3 linked regions of the Mus musculus genome follow. The protein of the gene in region 1 binds, or shares a complex with, the protein of each later gene. Links are inferred from orthologs where the notes say so. Each region holds a gene or a part of one and is shown in the gene's direction. Other genes may lie near its edges.

Region 1 (3,511 bases):
AGAGTTCATCACTGAAATGGTAAGACGCTTTTGTAACTATGACTTCTCTGTTGTGGTTATTTTTGTAACTGTTAGTTAATTGAAGATTTGAAGTGTAACCTTTAGACAACACTAGCACTTTTGAAATAAGCTATCCATTAGAGTGCCTGCTTTGTGCAAGTTCCTGGTTTCTATTTGCCATTACTCTGAATATCACATCAATGTATCCCAGTGCTTCAGAGCTTGTTTTATTTATTATTTATTTATCTAATTTCACTTGGTGTGCGCAGGTGTTTTGCCTAGAAGGTATGTCTGTGGATGGTGTGTGTGTCTGGTTCTCTCAGAGGCCAGAGGAGGGTGTTGGAGTCCCTGAACCTGGAGATACAGATGCTTGTGAGCTGCCTTGCAGGTGCTGGGAACTGAACTCCAGTTCTCTGGAAGGATCCCAATGTTCTTAAGGACTGGCATGTTTCTACAGCCCCTGAGTTTTATTTGTAAAAGCATAATATCCTTAAGTAAAATTAAAAGTACTGCCCATAATCTCATCCAGCCTAAGATCTTTTTCTTCTAGTATTTATTTAAAGGTATATACAGTTCATGTAATACCTTTGAGATTTTTAAAAATTATTTCATGTGCATTGAATTACTGCATATATGTGTGTGTGTGTGTGTGTGTGTGTGTGTGTGTGTGTGTGTGTGTGTGAGGGTGTCAGATCCTCTGGAACTGGAGTTACAGACAGCTGTGAGCTGCCTTGTGGGTGCTGGGAACTGAACCCAGGTCCTCTGGCAAAGCAGCCAGTCTAACATCTTGGATGGCCACTTTTATGGTTTTCTTCCTTTCCTTTGTGTGGTTGTATTAGCAGGGATGGGGTTACTGAGTTTGGTTGTTTTTAGTTCTTATGAGTGCTCACCCTTTGCTTTGGGCTATCTCCTTACTACAGAATAAAAGTGAAAAGATTACTCAGCCAGGGCAGAGGCTGGTTGGTGTGTGTGCAAGAGCCTGCACATGTGGCAAGTATTTAATCCAGTTTAACTCAGCTCAAGGAAAACATTAGCTGTAGCAATGCTAGATCATGCTAATATGAATGTGTGAGGCCCTGGGTTCAGCCCCCAGCACCACATTAAATGACAGAGCCTGACATGGTGGCTCATACCTGTAATCCCAGAATTCCAGAGAGAGACAGGAGGATCTACTACAAGTTAAAAAATCCAACCTGGTTTTTATAGTAAGTTCTAGGCTACTCAGAGCTACATAACAACAGACAAACAAACAGAAAAAAAAAAAGCAGCCAGGCATGAGAAGATGTCATTTCAGTGTGCTCAGAATTCCTCAGCATTCAGGAGGCTGTGGTAGGCGGACCCCAGTTTTAAGACCAGGCTAGGCTACACAGTAAGACCCTGTCTCAACAAACAAAACCAAAGCCAAGCATAATGGTACATGCTTTTAATTCTAGAAGTTGTAACAGAGGCAGGAAGATTGCCTCGTTTGAGACTAGCCTATATTCCAGGATCCTGTCTCAATAAAAAACAGTCAGGAATCAGAGACAAGTTGGTCTGAGTTCAGGGCTAGGCTGGTCTACATAGTGAGTTCTAGGTTATATAGTGAAACTCAAAAACATGTCTCAAAAAAAAAAAAAAGCAGCAACAAAAAAAATATTACCGTTGTATCTCCAAGTATAGATTTTGATATAAAAGGCTTAAGCGGTCTTAGGATCAGACTTACTATTTAGCCTCCATAAACTTTCCTTCCTTCCAGCCTACTAAAGCCTAATTGATATTATTTGCCTATTCTCTATTACCTATTCATTAGCCATCCCCAGAACATTTAACAAGACAACCTCCTGGAAGAAAACCAGACCAAACCAAAAAACTTCACATATATCATACAACAAAACAGAAGTATCTTCAAATTTGCTAGGTTTTAGCCTCTGGCTGTTCTGTCTTTCATATCTACAATAAAAACTTCCCATACCAGGAAGCAACTGTGTTGTCAGTTTATACATATATATCTATTTCTACTGTATAAGTGTATACATACATATTGATTTCTCCCATATAAGTATTGCATTAAAGCCAGGAAGTGGTGGCACACGCCTTTAATCCCAGCACTTGGGAGGCAGAGGCAGGCGGATTTCTGAGTTCGAGGCCAGCCTGGTCTACAAAGTGAGTTCCAGGACAGCCAGGGCTACACAGAGAAACCCTGTCTCGAAAAACCAAAAAAAAAAAAAAAGAGAGAGAGAGAGAGAGAGAGAAATTTGCTAGGTTTTGTTGTTCTGGTCTGTCTGTCTGTCTGTCTCTCTGTCAGTAAGGCAGGGTCTTACTATATAATTCTGGCTGACTTGGAACTTGTGCAGACCAAGGCTTATCCTGAACTCCCAGAGATCTGTCTGTCTCGATCTTTCAAGTGCTGGGATTAAAAGTGTACATCACTCTGTCCAGCTAACTTTGGTAGTTTTAATGTCCTTAATGAAAAAAAAAGCCTATAAAGCATAAAGAAAATGCTGCTAAGTATGGAAAAAAAAAGGATAAGGAGGGCTGGAGAGGTGGCTCAGTGGTTAAGAGCACTGACTGCTCTTGCAGAGGTCCTGAGTTCAATTCCCAAAAAACACATGGTGGCCATAACCATCCGTAATGGGATCCAGTGCCCTCTTCTGGTGTGTCTGAAGACAGTGTACTCACCTACATAAAATAAATAAATAAATCCTAAAGGAATAAAAGGGATAAGGATATGACCAGAGAGATGGTTCACAAATGTAAACACCAGCGCGATTAACAGCAAATTAAAACACAAAAATATTTAACCTTTAAAAATTCATGTGTTTCCTTGTCATAGACTCACAAGGCAATGTCGATTGGAAGACAAGGTCGAGTGCAAGTTGAAGATATTGTCTTCCTAATTCGAAAGGATCCAAGGAAGTTTGCTAGAGTTAAAGACTTACTAACTATGAATGAAGAATTGAAACGGGCTAGAAAAGCTTTTGACGAAGCCAACTATGGATCTTGACACCGTTCGTACTTCCCGAGATTTTGGTATTTTCTGTGGAAGCCATACATTGAAGTTGTTGTCTGCAGTAACATGATAGCTCGGTATGCAATGAAAGAGGTCTTCAACTGGAGCCTCCGTTGCCTGTCTTTATCTGACCATATCTGAATTGCTTCCTGGCTTTAATAACTCCTAAGTTAAAGCATTGCAAACCATGCGGTTCCACCCGAAAGGGTGGAAGTAGTATTTATTCTTCTGGTAGACGTGTGTGTTCCAAGCTGTATACCATTGCTGCATAGCATACAATCTGAATGTCCTTTGATTTTATAAATGGTGAGGCTGTGCTCTGTGTATCTCAAGGCTTTAGAGGACAGTGGTGGGGGAGTTATTAAAGAGAATGAGCTGGCTTGTGGGGGTTTTTAAGAAACGAAATTCTTGACTTAATAGATCATTTGTTTTTAATATTCTTTTCTAAAGAACACTTTTTTTAAAAGAAACTAATATTTGCTAAGTGTTAGCAGTCCTCGTCTTCCTTGATGACTGTAAAGC
Region 2 (4,249 bases), on another chromosome or scaffold:
CCTCGGTGTGCGGAGCCGAGCCTGGCGCAGGCGCGGTCTACGCCTAGCGGACCCGCCCATTCGCCAGGTGGCGGAGATCGGAGGCGGCACGCCTGCAGGAGCTTCCCGAACTGCTCGCCTTCCCAAAGGTTTGGGACCTCATGGCACTGGAAATGCGGTCATTGTTCCTGGCACCGTAGAAACAAAAGAAAAGGGGGTAACGCGTACCTCTGTTTTCAACTCCATTCAAAACGCATAGATTCAATACGGGATAGGCGCGGAGATCTAGAACCAGACTTGAAAAATCCCTCCCTCTGGTGCCTCCTGGAGGGAAGACCTGAGAGTTTTACTTCTGCAGTTAGACTGGCATTGTGGCAACTGCCATTTGTCCCAGCAGTCGAGAAGCAGAAGCCGCTGGCTGCATCGCTGTGAGTTTAAGGTCAGCCTGATCTACAAAGCAAGTTACGGGCTAGCCAAGGCTACATAGTGAGACCCTCTCTCCAGAAAAAAAAAGGTGGGGGGGGGGGAGGGAGTACGGGGGTGGCTGGAGAGGTGGTTCCCTGTTAAGAGCACTGGTTGCTCTGCCAGAGAATCTAGGTTTGATTCCCATCACTTGTGGCGCCTCACAGCAGTCTGTAACTCCAGCTCCAGCGGATGTAACACCTTTTGCTGGCCTCCCAGGGTACCACGAACGCATGTGGAGCTCAGACTTACATGCAAAACACCCATACACATGAAAAAAAAATGTAAGAACTCTTAACAGACACTATCCTCGCACTCCATCCTACTAACTCTTCAGAAAAAGTCAGAAGAGACCTTCTTTCTCTTAGTTGTCATGAGAGACATTTTAAAAGTCAGATTTGGGGAACCATTTCCAATTTTTAATATTGGTGGACTAAGGAGGGAAATGTAATTGGGAAAGGATGACTTTTTTTTTTTTTTCTGTTTTTCCCTCACAACACTAGCCTGTTCTGACGCGAGGCAGGTGGCCAATATTTGAAGTGTTAAATGAAACCATTGGATACTTTCTGTTGGCGTTAGAGATGCTTGCGAAACAGAAGGGAAACTTCCCTGGTGGACACAAGCCGGTGGTCTTAGTTCTTTGGGAAATCCGAGGTTAGGTCGCTGCCGGAAGCTGCTCAGTCCACGGCAACAACAAGCAGCGGGACCGAGTTCTCTCCCTGTTCCCCGACTTTGGGCTGAAGGAGTAAAGTTAAAGAAGGGTTAATTGGCATTACATTCCCAGGAAGGAGAAGAAAAAGAAGGAAAAAGAAGTCTCTCGGGAAACGAATTACGCTCTTTCAAAAACGCTTCTGCCCTGAAGCGGAGGATCTAGACTTCTACATTTCTTTCACATTAAAACAAATTCCGTTTATATGAATCCCCTGGGCAACCAACGCGCTTCTGGAAGTGACCCCTCCCAGGATCCGTGGGCGTGACGTCATCGCGGCGCGACGACGAGCCCTCAGCTCCAGCTCCGCTCCACAGCTCCTTCTCCCGGCGGTGCTGCCATCGCCTCTGACCCCCTGCTCTCGCGATGGACAACCTCGGGGAGTCGCCCACAGACAAAGGCGGGGAGCCAGGGGAGTCAGAGGAGACGAGGGCTACTCCTGGGGCTTTGGTGGCAGCCGACACTGAGGGAATCCCGGAGGAAACCGACAGGGATGGAGACGCGGACTTGAAAGAAGCCGCGGCGGAGGAAAGCGAGGTAGGTGGAAGTTGGTGGATAACGCTGCAGGACTACCCGGGTGCGCTCCTGACTGCTTTCTTCCAAAGCCAGGGAACTAGAATTCCCCCACGACTGTTTGTGAGTCTGCAACCTTGAGGGGCAGGAGAGGGAACGGGAAGGTGTAGGTGCTGTTAGAGCCCTATTCAGGCCTGCTTGTACTCCAGCTCCTTTTGGGGGAAGGCTGAGGAGGAAGGTGGAGGAGACAAGAAGATAAAAGACGAGGAGAAAATGGTTAAGGACAAATAAATTTGAAAATCTGAAGCACAAAGGTTAGAAACACGCGTAGATCAATAGTGGAAAGTAAGTTAGAAAGGCTGTCAGATAGATAATGCCTTCTCTCCCCCTCTCCATATTTCTGTATGAGTTTAAATATGAATTCCTTCCTTCCTTTCTCTCTTTCTCTCTCTCCCTCTCTTTCTTTCTTCTCCTCCTCCTCCTTCTTCTTTCTCCTCCTCCTTCTCCTTCTCTTCTTCCCCTTCTTCCTCTTCTTCCTCCTCCTCCTTCGAGACAGGGTAGCCCTGGCTAACCTGGAACTCAGGTTCTATAGACCACACTGGCTTCGAATTCAGAGATCCCCTTGCCTCTGACTTCCAAGTGTTAGTATCAAAGGCATGTGCCACCACTTCCCGACATACCTTTCATTTTAAAGGAACCATTAAATCTCATTAATGAGTTTTGATGTATTACGATTTTATAGTAAGTTGGCTAGGACAGAGTTTGGATCACTCTTGTGAATAAAACGGTTAAGTGTTTATGTGAGGAGAAATGTAAATAGTAAACATCTTGAAGACGTTTTTAGCTTAGGGCAGGCGAAATTGTTCAGCAGGTCAGGGTGCTTGATCCCCAGAACCCACGTTAAGGTAGAAGCGGACTATCTGCACAAAGTTGTCCACTTACAAACCCACACACATGAATGTCCGTAGTAACTGAAAAATTGTGGGTTTTTAAGAATATTTTTTATATGAATGTTTTGCCTGTGTATTTTTGTTTGCCGTGTAATGTGCCTGGCACATTCCCTGTAAAAGTCAGAAGAAGGCATTAGATCCCCTGAAACTAGAGTTGCTAATGACTGCGAGCTGAAATGTGGGTGTTGGTAAATGGAACCTAGATACTCTGCAAGAACAGCCAATGCTCTTAACCTCTGAGCTTTCTGCAGTTTTTAGTTTAAACTCAATATAATGGTACAAGTCTATAATTTCCACAAGCTGAAAATCCAAAATGAGACTTTGTCTTAAATTACAAAAGGAAAAAAAAAAAAGCTTCCGAACTGGGCATGGTGGTGCACAGCTTTAAGCCTAGCATTCTGGAGGCAGAGGCAGGTGGACCTCTTGAGTACAAGGCAGCCTGGACTACTACAGAGAGAGTTCAAGGATAGCCAGGGCTATGTATAGAAACTCTGTCTCAAATTATTTAAAAAAATAAAATAAATAAAATTTGTATTCTAGTATTGGGAAAGATCTCGTGATCCAGTAGAGAAAGGATCAGAAGAACAGAGCTCTGTTCAGTGTGGAGCTCCCAAGACACACATGGAAGGGACTGTACTGACATCTATGGAGTGAGGTCAGAAGGGTGGGCCCGAGGGAGAGTGGCTGTTTGGATCCTTGGCATTTTCCTCGTAATGTGTAAACAGATGCAGGACCTCTGTATGATCATGGCTAGGCTGGGAAATGGATTATTCATTTTCTTTTTTGTTTTTTGTTTGTTTGTTTGGTTGGTTGGTTTTTCAAGATAGGGTTTCTCTGTGTAGTCCTGGCTGTCCTGAAACTCACTTTGTAGACCAGGCTGGCCTCGAACTCAGAAATCCACCTGCCTCTACCTCCCAAGTGCTGGGATTAAAGGCATGCGCCACCACCACCCAGCGGATTATTTATTTTCTTTCCCAGCTGGAGTATAATCTTCCTTGGAGAGATGGATTGCCTCTTATGCAGATGGTATAGGCAGTGCCTAGAACTAGATAGCTACTGCGTAGACAGAGTTGCTGGGCTGGAAAGAGGAGGGTGTTTGCTGGCCTTTCCCAAACCTGAGAAGTGTGCCGAGTACATAATAAGAGTTTCTGTCCATCTCTCCAGCTCAAGAGTCAGGATGTCTCAGATGTAACAGCAGCCGAGAGGGAAAACTCGTCCTTACTTACTCCTGCAGCCAAAAAGCTGAAACTAGACATTAAGGACAAGAAGGAGAAGAAGCAGAAGGTGGACGAAGATGAGATTCAGAAGATGCAGTGAGTCACAGAGGTCCCCAGTCCAGGCTCTAACTCCACTCTGTACATTCATGCTTACTGGCTTTTTTGTGTGCTTTTGAGGTAAGGGCTCATGAGACTTAAGCCCTTAGCTCAAAGGTTTCAACTCCTGATCTTCCTGCCTCAGCCTACTTAGTACTGAGATCATAGGCATGAGCTGCTATGCCTGGATATAGTTTCAGGCCAGCAAGATGCCAAGGAAAGGTGCTCACCACTGCTCGCCACCGAACCTAATGACCAGGGTTTAATCCTGGGAAACCGCGTGGTAGAAGAAGGAATGAGGGCCTGGAAACTGGCCTCTGACC
Region 3 (4,222 bases), on another chromosome or scaffold:
AATCAGATAATCTATCTATGATGGTATAATATAAATAAAAGCTGTTCATAAAAACTCAATGATGGGGCTGGAGAGATGGCTCAGCGGTTAAGAACACTCACTGACTGCTCTTCCGAAGGTTCTGAGTTCAAATCCCAGCAACCACATGGTGGCTCACAACCATCTGTAACAAGATCTGACACCCTCTTCTGGAGTGTCTAAAGACAGCTACAGTGTACTTACATATAATAAATAAATAAATCTTAAAAAAAAAAACTCAACGATGAATGAAACAGAAAAACCATATATTTGTGCACTTACCTTTTATTATAAAGAAAAACTAATCCCATATAAACATTTTTATTTTTATGCTGAAAATTGTATTTCATGTCATGCTACCAAGTACTGTGGATTTACAATTTAAGGGGGAAAAAATGAAATGAGACTCATTAGTCACTTTGGATAAATGTATATATTGGAAGGTGCACCCATCTATTTTAGAGTTGTAGGTACACACAAGCCCACACGCTGAAAACTTTGGCACCCAATAAAACAAATCATCTTCTCCTATCTAATTTAGGATTATGGCCTGACCTTTCAAAGGGACACAAAAACGTCTGCTTAAGAAATTATAGTTGTCGAAATGAAAGATGCTCAATGATCAGGGCTCTTTGAAAACAAGACTGACAGTCACCTCCTTCGATAAACAAACAACCGTCTCTGATGATATCAGGCTCGGGAAACGCGCCGGAGATAACGAGAACTTCAACACTACCCCTAGCCTATCCACCTCCACCTCACACACTGCACAGGGGACAGGGACACAAAGCTCACACGTCAGTCCTTAGGTGTTTCTGCAATCACCAGTGAGCGGAGCTGACACCTCGCACCATGGCTCCAGGCCAGGGCTCCTCACCTACATCCTACACCAGTCCAGACTGGAGGGCGGGCCGGGAAGGACACAGCCCAGGTATGCGTGAAGACACAGCTGACCTCACGCCTCTGGGATATTAATAAATCAAGCGGAAGCCGCGGCGTCCTTACTTTCCGGGAGCTGCGTCCCCTCGCGGGCGGAAAAAAGCGGAGAACCGGGGCTGTACTTCGCCACCCAGCCCTCCCGGCTCAGCCGCAGGCTGTTGGAGGGCCCGCCTCCTGGGGACCTTCCTCACGGACGGCGCTTCCGCGACGCAGCCAGAGGGGAGGGGCCGGCAAGCGAGCAAGGGACGTAGGCGTCCAGCGCACTGCCTGACCCGAAACGCAGGCGGGTCTCGGGGCCCGGCTTCCCACCATTAGATGGAAGCGTAGGACCCGAGGCCAGCGGAGTTCCTGGTGCGTGCCGAGGTAGGGTCTGAGTGCGTGCGAGCCCGGCGGAGGGCCTCGAGGGAACCTAGCCGCGTACAGGCGCACGAGACCGCCCCTCCGCACGCACGCCCGCCCTTTCCGGTTCCTCCCTGGCAAGCGCGTCGGGGCGGGCGCGTGAGCGGAGGCTTTGGCTGCAGGGGAAGGAGGACTATGAAGCTTCCGAATATCCTGCTCACCGGTTAGGGCGCGCAACGGGGTCGGGTCGGGCCGGGCCGGGGTTTGCCGAGGGCTGTGAGGTCCCGGGGGCGCTCCGCAGGCCGCGCGGCGTGCCGTGTCGGCTGGCGCGTCAGGACCCGGCGCTCGCGACCGTTGGGGTGGGGGGCGGGGGAAGCGGCGGAGGCGGCGGTTCGGTTGGTCAGACGCCGCGCCGAGGAGAGGGAGAGCGGCAGGCCGGCTCCTGCTCTCCCGCTGCCCCGTCGCTCCGCCGGACGCTTGGCCTTTGTCAATCTGGTATCTTTGCCTGGAGAACGGGCTGCTGAGCCTTTGTCGCGGTCGGGCTTGGGGTTTTTAAAAATCGAGGTGCGGTGAGGCAGTTTTTAGCCGTTAGGAGATGTGGTGATGGTGGGTACCCCAGTCTTTGGGCCTTCTTGGTCGTCACCTTCTTATTTTATTTTTTATTTTTAGATACCCCTTTGCTTTTGAGAAACACTTCCCGAAAGGTTTCTGTAGATGATTTTTGGGATGCTTGTGAAGAGACGTGACTAATGAACTGTTACTTTGTTCGGTTCGCGCCACGGGCTTTGTTGTTGTTTCAGTGTTAAGGTTTCTGAGCGTTTGTGGTGATCTGGAGCTGATCGTGGGTGGGACGTTTCGGAGCTTTAATAAGAAAGGTTAAGTTGTAGCGTTTAGTAGCGTCATAGGCCAGTTGTACAAAGATGGGATGGATATAGATAAAGATGCCATCACTTTACTGAAAAAAGTTCAGCTGCTGTTTTGTCAGGTAACGAATCAGGTGAGGTTGTTGTCTGTCTTAGCTCTGCAGGCTTTAGCTTTGAGATTCCTTAGGAACATTTTACAATATCTGATTTGCATGGCCAGACAGTTTCTTGGGGCTTTCAGATTCTGAAGCCAGTAGGCTGCAGAGAATGCTGTAGATCAGTTGGTAGACTACTCACTAGTAGGCAGGAAGCCCTGGAATCAGGTCCCCAGAACAACATAGACTAGATGGGGTGGCATATGTCTGTTATTCCAATACTAGGGAGGATGAGAAGTCAAAGGCCAACCTAGAACCGTGCCGGTTGGCGGGAGGGGGGAAAGCAGTGGGGAGGGACGGACAAGAGTTACATCATAAGAACTCTGTAGATCTGAATGGGAGTGTTGAATACAGAAAGGGTTCACGAGCGCTGAGTAAGAGTTGGGATTGATGTGTTCTTACAGTGGAAGTATATTTTTTTTGACTATAGAGACATGATTTTTCAGGATTTCTTACAATGTTCAAGTTGACATAAGTTTGAACATTATGCATTTGATTGTCTTAAGGGTATTAGCTATAAGCAGGGCAGTGGTGGCACAAGCCTTTAATCCCAGCACTTGGGAGGCAGAGGCAGGCGGATTTCTGAGTTCGAGGCCAGCCTGGTCTACAGAGTGAGTTCCAGGACAGTCAGGGCTACACAGAGAAACCCTGTCTCGAAAAAAAACAAAAACAGGGGGAAGTGGAGGGTATTAGCTGTAAAAGGAGAAAAGCAAACTATGTATAGTGTCATTTATAAGGGTATCTATGCTGTGTGGATATATACAGTGTGTATGTATACACTTACTTAAATACACACCAAGTATCCCTTAGATACACACAAACACATAGAAAGTTAAGTAAGAAACTGGTTTAAAGTAGCTCCCTCTGGGGAAGGTATTTCTGTTAGGGGAAATGGTAGTAATGGTATTGCTCATACTAAACTTTTTTTCCATTGAATTTTTTTTTTTAAGATTTATTTATTATATGTAAGTACACTGTAGCTGTCTTCAGACACCCCAGAAGAGGGCATCAGATCTTATTAAGGATGGTTGTGAGCCACCATGTGGTTGCTGGGATTTGAACTCACGACCTTTGGAAGAGCAGTTGGTGCTCTCAACTGCTGAGCCATCTCTCCAGCCCCATTGAATGTTTTTTTGGGGGGTGGGGGTTTGTTTGGTTTTTTTGTTTGTTTGTTTGTTTTGGTTTTGGTTTGGTTTGGTTTTGGTTTTTCGAGACAGGGTTTCTCTGTGTAGCCCTGGCTGTCCTGGAACTCACTCTGTAGACCAGGATGGCCTCGAACTCAGAAATCCACCTGCCTCTGCCTCCCCAGTGCTGGGATTAAAGGCGTGCGCCACCATGCCCGGCCCATTGAATGTTTTTTAAGCTTTTTATTAACGCAATAAGTGATAATAGTGTATTTGAGGTGCCTAATTTTTTTGTTTTGTTTTTTTGTTTGTTTGTTTTTTTAAGACCGGGTTTCTCTGTATAGCTCAAGCTGTCTTGGAACTTACTTTGTAGACCAGGCTGGCCTTGAACTCAGAAATCCGCCTGCCTCTGCCTCCCGAGTGCTGTGATTAAAGGCATGGGCCACCACGCCCGGCAAGGTGTCTAATTTTATGCTGGGAATTTTGTTGTTGGCAGGCAGAATTGGCATCAAAATTGCTGCAGTCCTATCCCTGGAGATTAGGATATAGACACTAGTAGACAGTAATTTCTGGAGAATTTTTTGGTTGGTTGGTTTGGTTTGGTTTTGAGATAGGGCTTTCCTATGTGGCCCTGGCTGTCCTGACACTGTGTAGCCTAGTCTGGTCTTGAAGCCCCAGAGACTCTCACCTGCCTCTGCCCCAAGTGCTGGGATTAAAGACGTACACCACCATACCAGGCTTTATATCAGTTAAGAACCTTAAGGGCAGAAGATGGCTGACAAAT

The links. Proteins that work in one complex are often made in the same cells at the same time.
Region 2: Taf13 (region 1) and Taf11 share a complex: the UniProt entries of both Homo sapiens proteins name them as parts of the TFIID basal transcription factor complex. The link is inferred for Mus musculus from reciprocal best matches to the Homo sapiens genes TAF13 and TAF11.
Region 3: Taf13 (region 1) and Taf9 share a complex: the UniProt entries of both Homo sapiens proteins name them as parts of the TFIID basal transcription factor complex. The link is inferred for Mus musculus from reciprocal best matches to the Homo sapiens genes TAF13 and TAF9.

The regions. Positions count from the first base shown.
Region 1 is NC_000069.6:108,578,195-108,581,705, forward strand, and holds part of Taf13 (transcription initiation factor TFIID subunit 13), read left to right. Parts: coding exon 1-19; intron 20-2,812; coding exon 2,813-2,983; 3' UTR 2,984-3,511. UniProt on the Homo sapiens protein: The TFIID basal transcription factor complex plays a major role in the initiation of RNA polymerase II (Pol II)-dependent transcription.
Region 2 is NC_000083.6:27,904,939-27,909,187, reverse strand, and holds the start of Taf11 (transcription initiation factor TFIID subunit 11), read left to right. Parts: upstream 1-1,443; 5' UTR 1,444-1,516; coding exon 1,517-1,687; intron 1,688-3,777; coding exon 3,778-3,926; exon of another isoform or gene 3,927-4,007; intron 4,008-4,249. UniProt on the Homo sapiens protein: The TFIID basal transcription factor complex plays a major role in the initiation of RNA polymerase II (Pol II)-dependent transcription.
Region 3 is NC_000079.6:100,649,927-100,654,148, forward strand, and holds the start of Taf9 (transcription initiation factor TFIID subunit 9), read left to right. Parts: upstream 1-1,416; 5' UTR 1,417-1,491; coding exon of another isoform or gene 1,492-1,519; intron 1,520-1,680; exon of another isoform or gene 1,681-1,791; intron 1,792-4,222. Other genes in the region: Ak6 (adenylate kinase isoenzyme 6), read left to right, coding at 1,492-1,519. UniProt on the Homo sapiens protein: The TFIID basal transcription factor complex plays a major role in the initiation of RNA polymerase II (Pol II)-dependent transcription.